2 linked regions of the Struthio camelus genome follow. The protein of the gene in region 2 interacts with the protein of the main gene of each other region in a pairwise test. Links are inferred from orthologs where the notes say so. Each region holds a gene or a part of one and is shown on either strand. Other genes may lie near its edges.

Region 1 (7,207 bases), on a different chromosome or scaffold from region 2:
TCTGTAACGTGCATTGAGATCCACTGATCGGCTTCTAGACTGAGCCTTAGTAATATTTATTCTTGTTGATGTAAAATTTGAGAGAAATCACAGAATTTCTCAGTGAATGTTTTTTGCTGTGGCAAATAGCAATGATTTGCTGGTTTTAAATTCATAGCAGTTGTGTTATAAAAATACAGTAGACAGGTTCTTCTCTAAAAGCTGTAATGTCAGTCATTAGCCAGGGGTCACTGGCAGATGCAGAGGAGCCATAATCCAACCAATTCTCTGTTAAGAAATTCTGGCAGTTTTGGAGACAGAAAGGAGGGGACTGCACGCTAGTTTGAGTTGTTAGCAAGACAACATAGATACAAGAGTCAGACACAAGCGTATACGTTATTGATGAGTGTAAGGATTGAATTAAATAAAGGAATTAAAGCAATAAAAGAAGGGGGAGGGGTACAGGGGGAAAAAGGCACGTTAAGAGTTAAGGGTTCTATCAGAGACTCTGAATCACAAGTGAATGTGCATAATTTAAAAAAAAATACTCTTTTAGTTTGTTCTAAAAAGACATGCCTGGGGAGAGAATGGAATGGGAGGTGGATAAGAGTTGTGAAAAGGCTTTGGGGCAGGACCTGAATGGGTTTGGGGGTACAAAGCTGAATCGGAAAGAAGTAAGGTCATTTTGTAGGAAATGAAAGTAAAGCTGGAGGAGGTGTGAAGAAAGTTTAGAAACCTGCCACAGTTTCTTGAGAAGTACATAACTGTGGAGATTAATTACCAGAACTTTTAGTGCTGAAAGGGATTAATAGGGAGTTGAGTCTAAGCAGGGAGAATGACAAAGCAGCATGCGAAGAGAAGTGGGGACGATGGCCTTGTCTGCAGTAGGAAGGAGACCAGAACAGTTGCCACTGGCCACAGCAGGGTCACTGCAGAGTACTACTCCTGGAATAATGCAGTGGAAATATTGGAGGTCTATGGGGGCATGTGTTCTGCAATCACTCACTCTGCATTAATTCTGTGGAGCTTAACAGAGATGATGACCAGCAAATGTGGGCTGAAAGCAGCAGAAGCTGGAAAGGCTGTTTTGCACTGTTTGTCCCTGGACGTGTGGGCAGGTACCAGGCCGTAATGGTAGCCGCCTACTTTTCCCAGACTTCTTACGAAAAGGATCTGCCTGACATGCTTTCTTTTCTTTCTGAAGGAAAAATCAGATGTTGCTTCAAGCCTGGGTTGAAGGAGGAGGTCAGGTCAGAGCTGCAGGGCAGGTGGATGTTTGGGTAAGTCATCTGGAAGATTAAATATGTCATAGGAATTTTGGGGGAGTAGGAGTTTCGAGGGCAAGTATGCTGCTTTCTCAGCTGTGCTTGCTACTACAGCTCTTGGTACCTGGGCGTTAGAGTAACTACAGAAGAGGTGGTGCAGGTCACTAATGACAGGACATGGTAATGCTGGCAGTGACTCTGGGTTCTGCTGCTGTAGTTCACATATAGTCCTTTTGGCAATACCGTCAAGACACCGAGCTGCAAGGATTCGTGGAATTGGAAGCACGTGGATTATTCTAAGTTAGAGGGAGAACGGTTAATTTGTCATTGGCTATGCTAATACAAAAACAAGCTCCTTCCAGCACATTAAGGCAAGAGGAAGGCCGAGCATAGCATAGCTGAGGACGGCAAAGCACAGCCCTCTGGTGCTCTTGGACGCCCCTGCCAGAGGCAGCAGCTGCTCCACAAGCACGGCGGGAAGCCCCCATGCTGCAGTAAACAAGTTTTAACCAACAAATCACAGAATGGCTAAGGTTGGAAGGGACCTCTGGAGATCTTCTAGTCCAACCTCCCTGCTAAGCACGGTCCTCCAGAGCATATTTCCCAGGATCACAGACGAGTTTTGAATAACTCCAGGGAAGGAGACTCCACTACCTCTCTGGGCAACCTGTTCCAATGCTCTGTCACCCTCACAGGAAACACGTTTTTTCTCAGGTTCACATGGAACTTCCTGTGGTTCAGTTTCTGCCCATTGCCTCTTGTCCTGTTGCTGGGCACCACAGAGAAGAGACTGGCCTCATCCTCTCGACACTCCCCCTTCACATACTTGTACACGTTGATCAGATCCCCTCTCAGTCTTCTCTTCTCCAGGCTACACAGGCCCAGCTCTCGCAGCCTTTCTTCCGAGGAGAGATGCTCCAGTCCCCTCATCCTCTTTGGAGCCCTCCGCTGGACTCTCTGCAGTAGGGCCATGTCTCTCTTGGGCTGGGGAGCCCAGAACTGGACACAGGACTCCAGGTGAGGCCTCGCCAGGGCTGAGGAGAGGGGCAGGATCACCTCCCTCCACCTGCTGCCAACACTCTGCCTAAGGCACCCCAGCAGACCATTGGCCTTGGCCACAAGGGCACATTGCTGCCTCATGCTTCACTTGTTGTCCACCAGCACTCCCAGGTCCTTCTCTGCAGAGCTGCTTTCCAACAGGTCCACCCCCAGCCTGTCCTGCTGCCTGGGGTTATTCCTGCCTAGGTGCAGGAGCCTGCCCTTGCCTGTGTTGACCTTCAGGAGGTTCCTCTCCGCCCAACTCTCCAGCCTGTCCAGGTCCCTCGGAATGGCAGCACAGTCTTCTGGTGTGTCAGCCACTCCCCCCCAGTTTAGGATCATCAGCAAACTTGCTGAGGGTGCACTCTGTCCCTTCCTCCAGGTCAGTGATGAATATGTTGAACAAGACTGGAGCCAGGACTGACCCCTGGGGGACACCGCTCGCTACAGGCCTCCAACTAGACTCTGCGCCACTGACCACAACCCTCTGAGCTCGGCCATCCAGCCAGTTCTCAAGCCACCTCACTGTCCACTCATCCAACCCGAACTTCCTGATTTTACCTAGGAGGATGTGATGGGAGACAGTGTCCAAAGCCTTGCTGAAGTCCACGCAGACAACATCCACTGCTCTGCCCTCATCTCCCCAGCCGGTCATCCCATCACAGAAGGCTATCCGACTGGTCAAGCATGATTTCCCTTTGGTGAATCTGTGCCGACTACTCCTGATCACCTTCTTGTCCTCCATACGCTTAGTGAGGACCTCCAGGAGGAGCTGTTCCATCACCTTGCCCGGGATGGAGGGGAGGCTGACAGGCCTGGAGTTTCCTGGCTCCTCCTTCTGGCCCTTTTTGAAGACTGCGGTGACACTGGCTTTCTTCCAGTCCTCAGGCAGCTCTCCTGATTGCCATGACCTTTCCAAGAGGATGGAGAGTGGCCTAGCGATAACATCCGCCGGCTCCCTCAGCACTCGTGGATGTATCCCATCGGGGCCCATGGATTTGTGGGTGTCAAGTTTGGACAAAAGATCTCTAACCTGATCCTCCTCCACCAAGGGAGAGTCTGCCTTTCTGCAGCCTTCCTCTCTTGTCCCCAGAGTCTGGAATTCCTCAGCACTGGCCTTAGCAGTGAAGACTGAGGCAAAGGCGGCATTCAATAACTCTGCCTTCTCTATATCCTTTGTTATCAGGGCACCCGCCCCATTCACCAGTGGGCCCACATTTTCCCTAGGCTTCCTTTTGCTATTGATGTACTTGAAGAAGCCCTTCTTGTTGTCCTTGTCCTCCCTTGCCAGATTTAATTCCAACTGGGCCTTAGCCTTCCTCGTCGCATCCCTGCACACTCTGACAACGTCCCTGTATTCCTCCCAAGTGGCCTGTCCCCTTTGCCACATTCGGTACGCTTCCTTCTTCTGTTGGAGTTTGGCCAGGAGTTCCTTGCTCAGCCACGCAGGTCTCCTGCCCGCTTTGCTGGACTTCTTCCTCAGAGGGATGCACCGGTCTTGAGCTTGGAGGAGGTGATGCTTGAGCATCAAATGAAGTATTGGGGAAATAATGCCAAATTTCAAAGAAAAAGCCAGAAGATAGAAGAGAGGTGTGAGTTTAAAAGACGTCCTTGTCCTTTATTTTGTCTTGAGGGTGTTTGCTTTTGTCAGCTGTGGGGATGTGCAGAGACTGCCTCTGATCGCCTCACTCCTGGCGGTGACGCTACTGAAGCAGCGTTAATTTGCTCTATAGGGAACCGCGTCCAGGGCCTGTAGAGCCGCCGCTGCCGGAGGTAGCGCCGCTGCCTCCGGCGCCATCTTGGGCCGCTTGCCCCAGACTACGCGTCCCGTGAGGCCCCGCGCGCCGAAGCGCCGCCGCGCGGCCTGCCGGGAGTTGGAGTCGGCGTGCGGCGGCGCCCCGCCCCTGCCCGCCCTCGCGGGCTGTGGCCGCGCGTGGCGGTTCCGCTTCCCCCTCCGGCTCCTGCCGCCGCCGCCTCGGTGGGTCCCGCCGCCGCCATTGCAGGAGGCGCCGTGTGGCGGCCGCGCCCCGTCCGCCCCGCCGCCCCCTCTCGCCCCCGCCGGGCCGTCTGCAGAGGCGGCAGGCGCTGCCGCCATCCCGGTGAGTGCCGCGGCGGCGGCCCGCTCCCACCTGCCGCCGCGTCGCCGCGCCTTCCGCCCTTTGTGGCCTCCTGCGCGGCCGCGGGCCTCTGGCGGGCCCGGGCGCGCCGTCTCGGCCGGGCCGCCGCCCGCCCTGCCCGCCGGCCGCCGTGGGGGGTGCGCGGGTCGCGGCGGGGCCAGCTCGGCCGGGCCGTGGCACCGGGCTGCGCCGCGGGAAGCCGCGGTGGCGCCGCGGGCGCCGGCCTGCGCCGAGCGCGCTGCCCCGGGGGGCTGGCCGCGCCCGCGGCGGCGATGCGCTGGCGGGAGGCGCAGCGGGGGCGCTGCCCGGGGGAAACGGGGCGGCGAGCTGGCGAGGAGAGAGGCCGCCTGGTCGTTTGGTGATCCGGAGGAGCTGTGGTGCGCTCGCCGCCGTTGCCGCGCGGCGGTGGCTGGCCGGAAAGCGGTGCCTGATGTTGCTGTAATGCTGATTTGCCCTCTGTGGGCCAGTACTGCGGGAACTCAGCAGGCGCTTTCTGAAGCCCAAGGGTCACCTCCATCCTCTGTCCCCTGCCGCCCCCCTCCCGACACGTCCCTTTCTGCCTCAGGGCTGGGCGCGGTGGTGGCACCCCCAGAGCAAAGAGCAGTCTGTCCCGAGGAAAACAGTACACCCTTCACAACAGCCTTCGTTGTTGTCAGATCGCTTAAAGTGGGGGGAAAATTAGCGTCAATGTATCTGTGAAAAACTCTTAAAGAAAAATCTGTACAAGTACGGAAATGTAGTGCAGAGAGCTTTTGGTCACATGCTTTCCTACAGTGAGTGAAGGAATCCGAGTACTGCAGCAGGTTATGAATCTTTCTTTGGAGCTGCTGTGATACCCTTTTTATACTAGACCGTAATGTAACTGCTACTCTTTGTGTGCTCTTCTGTTTGTTTTTTCTCTTTGCTGTGTTTTCTGTTTAGTTTTTGTTAGTGCGTTTTGCCTTCCGTTCTGTCCGTGCTGCCTGCCCGACAACAGTAGATGTCTAATGGTAGGCTGATCAGGGAATTGGGAAAAAAAATTTGGTTTAGCCTGAGCTCAGGGACTGGTGTGTACAAGCAACTGCCGGAAGGTTTGTCTGGGAGCAGACAGTTAATCAGCTAGCTTTCAAAGAGCAATACTGCACTTTGCCTGTAGCCAAAATAAATCCATTTACATGCTGTCTTATGGTAAGTGAAAGCAGGCCAGATATTGCAGCATTTTTATTAATAATCCTCATTATTTTGGAGGTATTGCAATAACTGGGATAGTAAGCACAATGACTGGGATAGTAAGCACAATTTGAGCATGGAATTTTGTGTCTTTTTTGTTTTTTATCTTCTTGCTCCTGCCTTTCTCCATTTTTCTCTTTCTTTATGTCTCTCTCTCTCTCTCTCTCCTCTCTCTCTCTCTCTCTTTTTTTTTTTTTTTAAAGATAGGCTTGCTCTTGGGCTTTTCAGTATGGTGCAGCCTTCACAATGTGAGCCCTGAAGTGGTATGTGGCTAAAAATCAGGGGACTGAGTACTTTGTGGTTCGGTTTCTCCGTTTAGGAGATGGAATTAATTTAATGCACAAAGATACTGTAGAGGCAGACTTACAAATATCCGTACATAACCAAGTGTGCTGTACCAGTTTTATGCCACCATAGGACTAAGAAATTAGTCATTTTATTATTGCAGACTAATAGACTGAAATAGGAGCAGTGTAGAAATGTAAAAATGTAAAGCCTTTGCATGATGAGATTTTGAGGAGAATCTTCAAGATCACAGGAGCACTTCAAAACAACTCGCCAAGTAATGCTTTAGATGAAGGAAAGGCCTATGACGGTGGGGGTATATTTCCATTCTTGGGGTAGAACAAAAATATTTTTGAAAGCATAGTGCAGATTCTCTGTATTGTCTAAGTTGCATGTGGGATTTGACTCTGCTTTATGTAGACATAGTTATTCAAAAAAAATGTTGGGCTAGGAAATGGTCAATAATACAAACGTTTTCAGCTGCTGTCTAGATATTTTGCATGTTTTAGCTGAGGGCAAAGTGTTTCAGTGGATCAGAGGTGCATGTGCTCTGAGTTGTTTTATAGGACGTTGTCAGGATCTCATTCACTGGGATGAAATTTATGCCAGCTTAACCTGAAAGTTTGGCCAATTGGGGGAGTTTTTCTGAGGCACCTGTTACTGTTTCCTGTCTGGAATAGCTGCTGGAGTAGATGGATGGATGCTTTGACCATGTATGGTAGGTCTAATCTGCTTACTTTAAAATGTGTCTTAAAAAAATCATGCACACTTGCATTGTTTAAATTAGCGTTTCAGTTATGTTTGAAAGGAAAAATTATCAAGCAACTTCATTTTCTAAATAACTTTAGGATAAATGTTAAAGGCTTTGATGCTGTTAATTTCGTTCTTTTGATATCAAATGTGAAAAGCAGCAGGAATCTGAATATAGGTCTCTGTTTTACTAGTAACAGCTACCTCCATTTCAGAATTCTCTTATCTGTCTTTTTTTTCCCCCTCCACCTTTCACATGTCTGTGCGGTAGCCACAGTTGGGAAAATAGTTAATTTGTTTTGGAAACAAGTCCTAGTTATAGAGACAGTGTTCTAAATGACTGGGGCCAGTGATAACTTGAGCAAAGCTCTGGTGACAGAGAGTTGAGCTCTAGCAGAAAGCTTTGAGAGTGAGTTGTCTTAAGAAAACATTGAGGAGGAAAAGAAGGGGCTAGGGGAGGCATAGTGGTGGGAAGAACAAGAAGACGGAGAGGTCTTGAGCAGCTGGGCATGATGCAGTCAAGCCAAGCTGCCTACTTAGCTCAGCTGTCTGAAAATGCAGCTT
Region 2 (7,705 bases):
TAATTTAGAGAAAAAAAAAATCCTGTGTGGAAAACACAACAGGTAGGGAGGAAGAAATTGCCTAAAGTGGTATTTTTCCTGCTCTGCTAATCCCAAGGTGAACACATGCCTCGTTCACTTTGCTCCATTGTCTTGCAGCATAGGGCAAGGGTTAAACAGCTTTTGTCATATATCCACTGTACAGAGAGGGAGAGGGAGTAGAAGATGAATGGAAATGGAGATGAGACAGCCATGCAAGAGGGAAATCAGGAGAGAAAGCACTGGTGACAGCCAGCTCTTTTCTGGAAGGAAACCAGAGAATTCTGCTGCAAATTGGAGGGGCGCATCAGACCTCCAGATGCATGGGTGCCACCATCGTTTCACATCTCCAAGGAAAACTCACCCCCTAAGTCCAAATGCAAACGGCTATAAACAAATCTGCTGGACATACAGATACCGGACAAGAACCACGCGCTGCACTGATGGGTAAGTAACACAGTACTGCCCACAGTCACCACGATGCAGCATAAATTAACAAGCCGAACACCACCCTTCCCAGCTAAAAAGAATCGTCCGTCACTCGCACACACACAAACACACCACGTACAATTTTCATTATACAGCAGCTTTGGAAGCAAGTTCACAGATGAGGGTACTCCGATGGGCAGGACTTGAATCACTCTTTGCTTGACCTCATCTCCCAAAAGTCATTTGTTTTACAAACTCGTCTTTCAGAAGGGAAACCCAATGACACTAATTATATCCATGGCAGCAGCCTGAAACAGGAAACCCCCTGCTGCTCACATGGACCACCATGGTGGCGGTGGTAGTGGTGGCAGCATGACTGATGGCGTGTGATGGCTGTAGAGAGGCCTGCTCTCACTCAACACGCCTCAAAGCCAACCCTCAGCACCTGCCCTTCAGCAAACTGCCTCTGCTTCACACAGAGTACTTCCATCCCGCCTGTGGTTAACGTTAAACTGTTATTTTACCTCCCTCATTTACTGCTTCTGCTTTTCAACATATCAAATTCACTTGAGGTCTCAATGGTCATTTCATCTGGGTGGGAGGTTGACAGATGGAGCTGCCAGCAAGAAAGGGGAGCAGATGAAGGAAGGAATAGGGACAGGGTCCTCATTTCAGTTATTCTCAGCACAATGTGGAGGGACATACAGGCAACTCAAGCAGAAAGAGGAGCCAACACAAGGCTGCCTCAAATAAGACTAGGGTCCACAATGGCACCCTGAGAATATGGTCAATGTGAGGATGGCTTAAAATCAGTTTTGTCTCCCTCTCTCAGTTCCTATATGGAGCACCAGTATGGAACCACCAAGCAGCAAGTGTTAGGAGACACTAAGTACACTGGTCTAGAATTTGTTTAACTGCACAGGGTCTGGCTCTTACTATATCATCGTGCAGAAAAGGTCCTGAATCTGATGGCCAGGGAAACCTGGTTTGGAACCTCACAGTGATAATTAAGCTTTGCAGTCCCATTTTGTTAATCTGCCTCTCAAAGACTCTGACTGACATGAAAAAAGATTTTTCTCTGATGCAGGATGCAAATCTGAATGCATGGAAAATTTTCTTCACATTACAAGTAGGCAAGGGATCATTGTGAAAATATCTCATTTCTGAGGAAATTGAGACTGTGGAGAACTAAGAACCCTTGTTTCTGATGAATGCTCTTAGATAAATTTTTCCTCTTTGCCTAAATATGGAGGAAGTAATAAAGGAAGGCACAATGTAAGAGTTTCTTCAAAGTTTGGAGGCATGGAAGCAAAATGACATTAATTTATCAAATTCCTATGAAAACAAATCCACTCATTGTAACAGAGTCCGTGGCAGCCCCCTGCAAATATATTGTATATCTGAGAATCTAGTTAGACTATACAAAAACAGCTCTGATTTCCACAGTAGAAGTGTTTTGTTAATAAACAGTTTGGAGATCTTCATGACCACTATCCTAAAACTGTGGTTCCTTCATCTTATGATGTCATCTAGAAGATTTAGAAGATGGGGTTCTGTTAAGCTCACTTCAATACCCATAGGGTCACTGCACTAAAAAGTTCTGACAGTCTAAATAGATTAGACAAAGGGTAGGAAAAAATGTGAGATGATTTGCCTAAAGTCAATTTACAGTTCATTAGCGGTGCCAGAAACTTAATTCCCACATCTGTGCTCTCTTTTCTAGGCTGCAGTGACTCTCTCCAGAGCATAGGACCTGCTGCAGTCACCTATGCAGTACCATTTTTCCTCCTTCTGTAGATCTGGTCCCACTATCATTTCCAGAGAACATCTAGAAAGAGAGGCTCAAAGAATCCAATGCACTCTGCTGTTGATATTAAATCACGATATCAATTCAGGCAGCCAAACCTAGTTTCAGCGCTGATGCAGGAGGCAACACCTTTACAAACATCCTGAGAGGCTTCGGAGCATGCAGTTTGGATGAGGCAGTTGGTCTGGCCCAGATAAGCCTGCAGGACCTGGAGGTACCACATAATAGGGATGCTGCCAGCGGCTAGAAACAGGCTGGCTGGAGGTCCCAAGGAGGGAGGAAACTGAGGGCTGCGCTATGGAGAGAACCAGAAGGCTGGCAAGGGAAAGCAGCCTGCAAGCGTCAGACCAGCAGCAATCCCCAAAGCTAGCCGTGCTCGTAGATGAAGTGGGACTGAGCTCCATAGCAGGCCCAGAAACCTCCCAGCACCTCCCGTACCAGTGCTGGTAGGTGGAAGGAAAGAGGATGGACAAGGAATCTTGTCCAAGAGCAGCAAGGGGTGGGGAGAAAAACTTCACAGTAATGCAGCCACCTTTAAATTCTCCCACTCTATGGGACTACCTCTTATGGACAGGAAGGCAGAGACCAATCTGCTTGGTTTAAGCAAAGAAGGGAAGAGGAAAGGAAGAGCTTCGGAGGACACGACCCAAGGCAAGGTCAGGACTCTATCAGATCCAGGCAGTCAGGTTTGATAAGGTTATAAGCAGTTATGGCGAAAATTCCTCTGACTTACAAGTTTTAAGCTCATAATGTTGTACCAAGGAAGACCACTGCATTGCAGGAGGCACTGGAGAGAAAATGCAGCTGTAACTGGGTTGGCTAGTGGAAGGGAGCAGGCAAAGAGTGATACAACATCATATCCTCTTTTTCACCTTGATTTGCTTTGCCTGCAAGAGAAATATAGAATGGATTTAATTGGCTAACGTATTGCTCATTGCAGAGCTAATTAACAAATTAGCTCTCAAATTTGCAAGTCCCTCATCTCATAGAGAGCCTCTTGCTGGAATCTTTTGCACTGGCCTTGAGCCCTGCCGGTTCACAAGAAAGCAGCTCCAGGGATTTCTCTGTCAGAGGTGTGCTGATGAAGATGAAGCTGATCCTTCCAAACAAAAGTGTGGGGCTTGGATATACTCTGCAGCCCCCGAGTACAGCCCGGCTGAGTGTGGAGCACTGAGCCGTGGGGAGTTTGCGCAGGAGTGTCCCACAACCCTCTGCTGTTGTAGGCCTAAACCAGGTTCACTAACATTAAGGTCTGCCTCAATGGGAGGGATGTCTGATGTTGAAAAAGCTTGCAGATAACTTATGCCAATGTAAAATGGGAAGTGAGATAGTTGTTGCATTTGGGAATTGAGCCATGAATTATGCGAATTTTTGCTTCCTTGGGCTTTGCAGTTACCTTGTGACAAAATGTGCTTAATCGTGTATTTGGCGAACTTACCTAACAAGGTCAATAGGCTGGTAAGCAAAGGCATGGAAGGGGATCAGCACCCAGCTCTTTAATAACTACAAGAGAGGCACAAGATCAGATTTTTAGATTTGTCCCAACTACGGTAAGAAAGAAGCTAAACGAACAAAACTTTGTAATTCTTGATTCCCCAAGGGTGATCCAGCCAAAATGCTGATGGAGGAATTAATCAATATAGTAACTGCTTGGAGAATCGGGTTTTGGGTGCCCAGAGCTCACAGGTTTTGCTAGATGAACTAGGTTGTTGGGCTGAAGTTTTGAAGCTAAAAGTATGTCACCTGTACTCCTAACTGGGAGAAATCCCACAGTGATGCTGTGTCACAGCAGATGCTGGGCATAGCACTCTTTTTTCTAATTCTGGTAATATTTAATTCCTTTTTTTGCCTCTCTAGCCCCATCTGTGTTTACACACTTACACTGAGGGGGGAAGGGGAATCTCTCTTTTTCTTTTTTGGAGTGGATGAGGGGGAAGTGAAAGGGATACTTTCTGAATGCGTGACTTGAAGAATCAATGATTTAGTATTTTTAAATATATTTTTAAGTGCTATAGATACAGAGAAAGTTTGCATTAAATGATACCTACCCATTATACCTTCAGCCTGCTTTTCTGCCTCCCTCATTCCCCTCCCAAACGTATGAAAACACCTCTCCCCAGACACTCTGAGAAGAACACACCTGGGAAGGGCAGATAACCCTGCAAGGACCACACAGTTCACAGCCTCGCCGTACCCTGCTTCGCCATTTAGGTCCAATACCCACATCTTTGGCAGCATTCGCCAGGCAAAAATCCTCCTCCCGGGTCTCCCTGCCGGAGAGCAGCTCGAGCGCGGGATGGAGCAGGAAGCCTAAAACTTCAGTCTGCAGAGGGACCTCTAGTGTTTTTCTTTCTCCACGTCCTGGCAGAGTTCCCCCGAAGTACAAATACACACAGAGCTCCCATTGTTTGCAGCCCTTCACAAGCCCACTGATCCTAATATGGAATTCAGCAGGAAACCCATGATTTCCTGACACACAGCAAGCTGGAGAAAGAAAGGAAAAACTCCATTAAAAACCTCCAGGCTTTCCTCCATGTTAGAAATGAAATGGAAAATGGAGCGGATTTAGCAGGAATCTCTGATTCCTGCAGCCAAGCCGGAGGAAGGGAGAAGCGAATCAAAGCCGCAGGCTGCTGATATTTTTCAAGTTGCAATAAAGACCGAACTCTGGGGCAGGATGAGGATTTCCTGACTCGGACTCACAAGAACGGACAAATCGCCTTTTTTTTTTTTTTAATGCTACTCCTCTCTCTATATATTTAATTTATTCACCTCGATGATTCTCTTGACTGCTCTGGTAATTGTTAGAAGCGGCTGTGACAGCCTGGAAACATTAGTATGATTTCCTGAGTTTGAGATTCTCCCCCCCCCACCCCCCACCGCCCCTCCAAACTCAGGAAAAGTCAATACAATCGCACTTCATTTTTCCTTCATGTGCACTTGGAAGTCCTGGGAGCAGCAGCAGCAGCAGCAGCAGCAGCAGCAAGAATGAACTGCAAGGAAGAAGATGACAACTGCACTGACGGCAGCAGCAACAACACCAAGAAGATGTTAAAATGCGTGGTGGTTGGGGACGGTGCAGTCGGGAAAACCTGTCTGCTGATGAGTTATGCCAACGACGCTTTCCCCGAGGAGTATGTGCCCACTGTATTTGACCACTATGCAGGTAAGAAAGAGCTTTCAAAGAAATGTAATTAAGAGCTGCAGAAGGGCCAGGTGGGTGGTAAAGGAAGATCAAGGACCGAAGAGGACAGTTCAAAGGGGACACATGGGTTACTTCTAGCCCAGGAATGTGATTCAGGCCTGGACTGTGGCCAGACAGCTTAGATGGCAGCTCATACAATTGGGGCAATGCAGGATTTATTCAGAGAACTTATTTGTTTGCTTCCAATTTGTATTTTGTTTGTGGCAAATAAGCAGCGTTAGAGACACAATTAAATCCGCTGGCTTTTAGAGACAACAAATATCATACAGCCGCCGTCAGGTTATGCTCAGCTGCCTGGTCTGTTTCTAAATCATGAAGTTTTGAACTGTGTGGGCTGCAGTTATTATAAAGATGATACATGCACATAAAAATTTACATTTTTTGGTCATCTTCTGCATCATGGCAAATGATGCATGAATTACAATACTTATATCCTACTTAAGGAATAATCTTGGAGAAAACCAGCATAGTCTCTTTCAGTGCTACCAGGATAATAACTCTCTCTCCTTTCAGATGTGTTTGCTGCTACATTTATAAATAGAATTTAATATTATAACTTGACTGTGAGGAAAGCAGAACTGCTGATTGATTTGAGTACTTTATAGTGAGGAAATTTGTCATAGAACAAAAAAATATGAAAGTTACAAAGAACATAAATGATGTCCACTGTCCAAAACAGACCCACATATTAAATTCAATATTTGCAAGCCTCTTTCTGTAGCAACTACTTACTTTACCCAGCAGCGTCTAAAGTTATCATGTGGATGGTGTGATATGCTAAAACTGTTGCTCAAACTGCTACTTAAATTTTTTTATTCTAGATTCTGTTGTTTTTCTTATCTCACTGTTCCTTAAGTTTACAGTTGTTGTTACCAAAAAGTAGGTTTTAGAAGCCCTGCAAAACTCATTGCTTATCTCGCAGCAGCAGTTGGAGTTTCCCTCATTCTCTCCCTCTCCTTAAAAACTGGATTTTCATGGCGTGGCTTATCATAGATTTGGTATTCTGTAATGGGAAAATCTCTGTTTTCACTCTGGCTTCGTGTCAGGTTTAGCAGATGAACTGGCCAAACAAGAAAGCTGTGTAATTGCAGCATCTGACCCATGGAAATATGAGGACCTTTTGCTCCGCAAGTGTGGGCAGCGTCACTGCGAGATGCAAGCAGCGCTCCCTTTCCTCTGCCCTTCCCACCACATAGATTAAACGATCGTTTTCGAAAAAGTTTTTTTAGATAAGAAATGAAAAAGAAAAAAAAAAGGTGATGTAAATAAGTACTTCCACAAGCCAAAAAAGCTAAGGAAGCCTGGCTCCAGGGATGTATTAAATGCCAATAACCCCCACTTTGCTGGGATAACCTGAGTTCTGCTTGCTCCTTGCAGCCTCGTGCCCCGGTTGCTCCCAGTCCCCCACTCTCGTGCTCTCCCTTGCCCCACAAACATCATCGCGTACGGAGACACCCATACAATAGCCAATACCAGGCCACATATATGTTGAGCGGGTGGGATAGGTGCAGGCGTAAGGGAAGCGTACACACGTGCGCGCTATTGCCAGTGCTCAGGGTGGGACATCTAGGTGCGTTTCCCTCCTCTGCGCAGCCACAGGTGACTCGCAGCGCCTGGCTTTGACTTCTTTTCCTCTCTGTCTGAGGTGGTAGAAAACGCCAGCTGGTTCAAAAACTACTGAGGGAGAAGGGGGGGGGGCTGAGAGAACGACAGGCAGATGAAGAGTATCACTGCATAATCCTCATTTCCCTAGTGTACCAGGTGAAAGTAGTACGCATGCACTTTTAAATGAAGCTACTTTTTCATGCTCTGGAGATGTAGACCTCTCAAATATCTCCAGCTGTTATTTGCTTCTTTACCTATTACAGCCCACTGATAGAAATTAAGAGTGCTTTTAATGAGAGAGGTTAGAAAGGTAAGGAAAACAATAGCATATCAACATGCTATTCTGAGACAAATCCTGCCCAGCTCCAGTGGTTAAAGCTAGCATTGATCAGAAACGGAATTTCCATTCTTTGAGCAATCCCATCGTTTCTAAATCAATCTCACTACAAAGCAGCGCCCAGAACTGAGATGTGGAAACGACTTCTGGAGCAGAGTGCCAGAAGAAACAGTTTATATAATAAAAAAATACTATATGGCATAGAATATAACACAGCCTATTAAAATACTTTAATGTAGTGTGGATATTGAGAGAGGGAAGAACTCACTTGAAGTATGCTTACCTCCAAATTCATAGCCTCTGG

What was found.
Region 1: the proteins of RHOJ (region 2) and PAK2 interact in binary tests that used the Homo sapiens proteins (3 or more experiments, as listed by UniProt). The two-hybrid records come from large-scale screens. The link is inferred for Struthio camelus from reciprocal best matches to the Homo sapiens genes RHOJ and PAK2.

Annotation. Positions count from the first base shown.
Region 1 is NC_090950.1:2,563,122-2,570,328, forward strand, and holds the start of PAK2 (serine/threonine-protein kinase PAK 2), read left to right. Parts: upstream 1-4,200; 5' UTR 4,201-4,260; intron 4,261-6,464; exon of another isoform or gene 6,465-6,611; intron 6,612-7,207. UniProt on the Homo sapiens protein: Serine/threonine protein kinase that plays a role in a variety of different signaling pathways including cytoskeleton regulation, cell motility, cell cycle progression, apoptosis or proliferation.
Region 2 is NC_090946.1:76,023,683-76,031,387, reverse strand, and holds the start of RHOJ (rho-related GTP-binding protein RhoJ), read left to right. Parts: upstream 1-4,685; 5' UTR 4,686-5,242; coding exon 5,243-5,420; intron 5,421-7,705.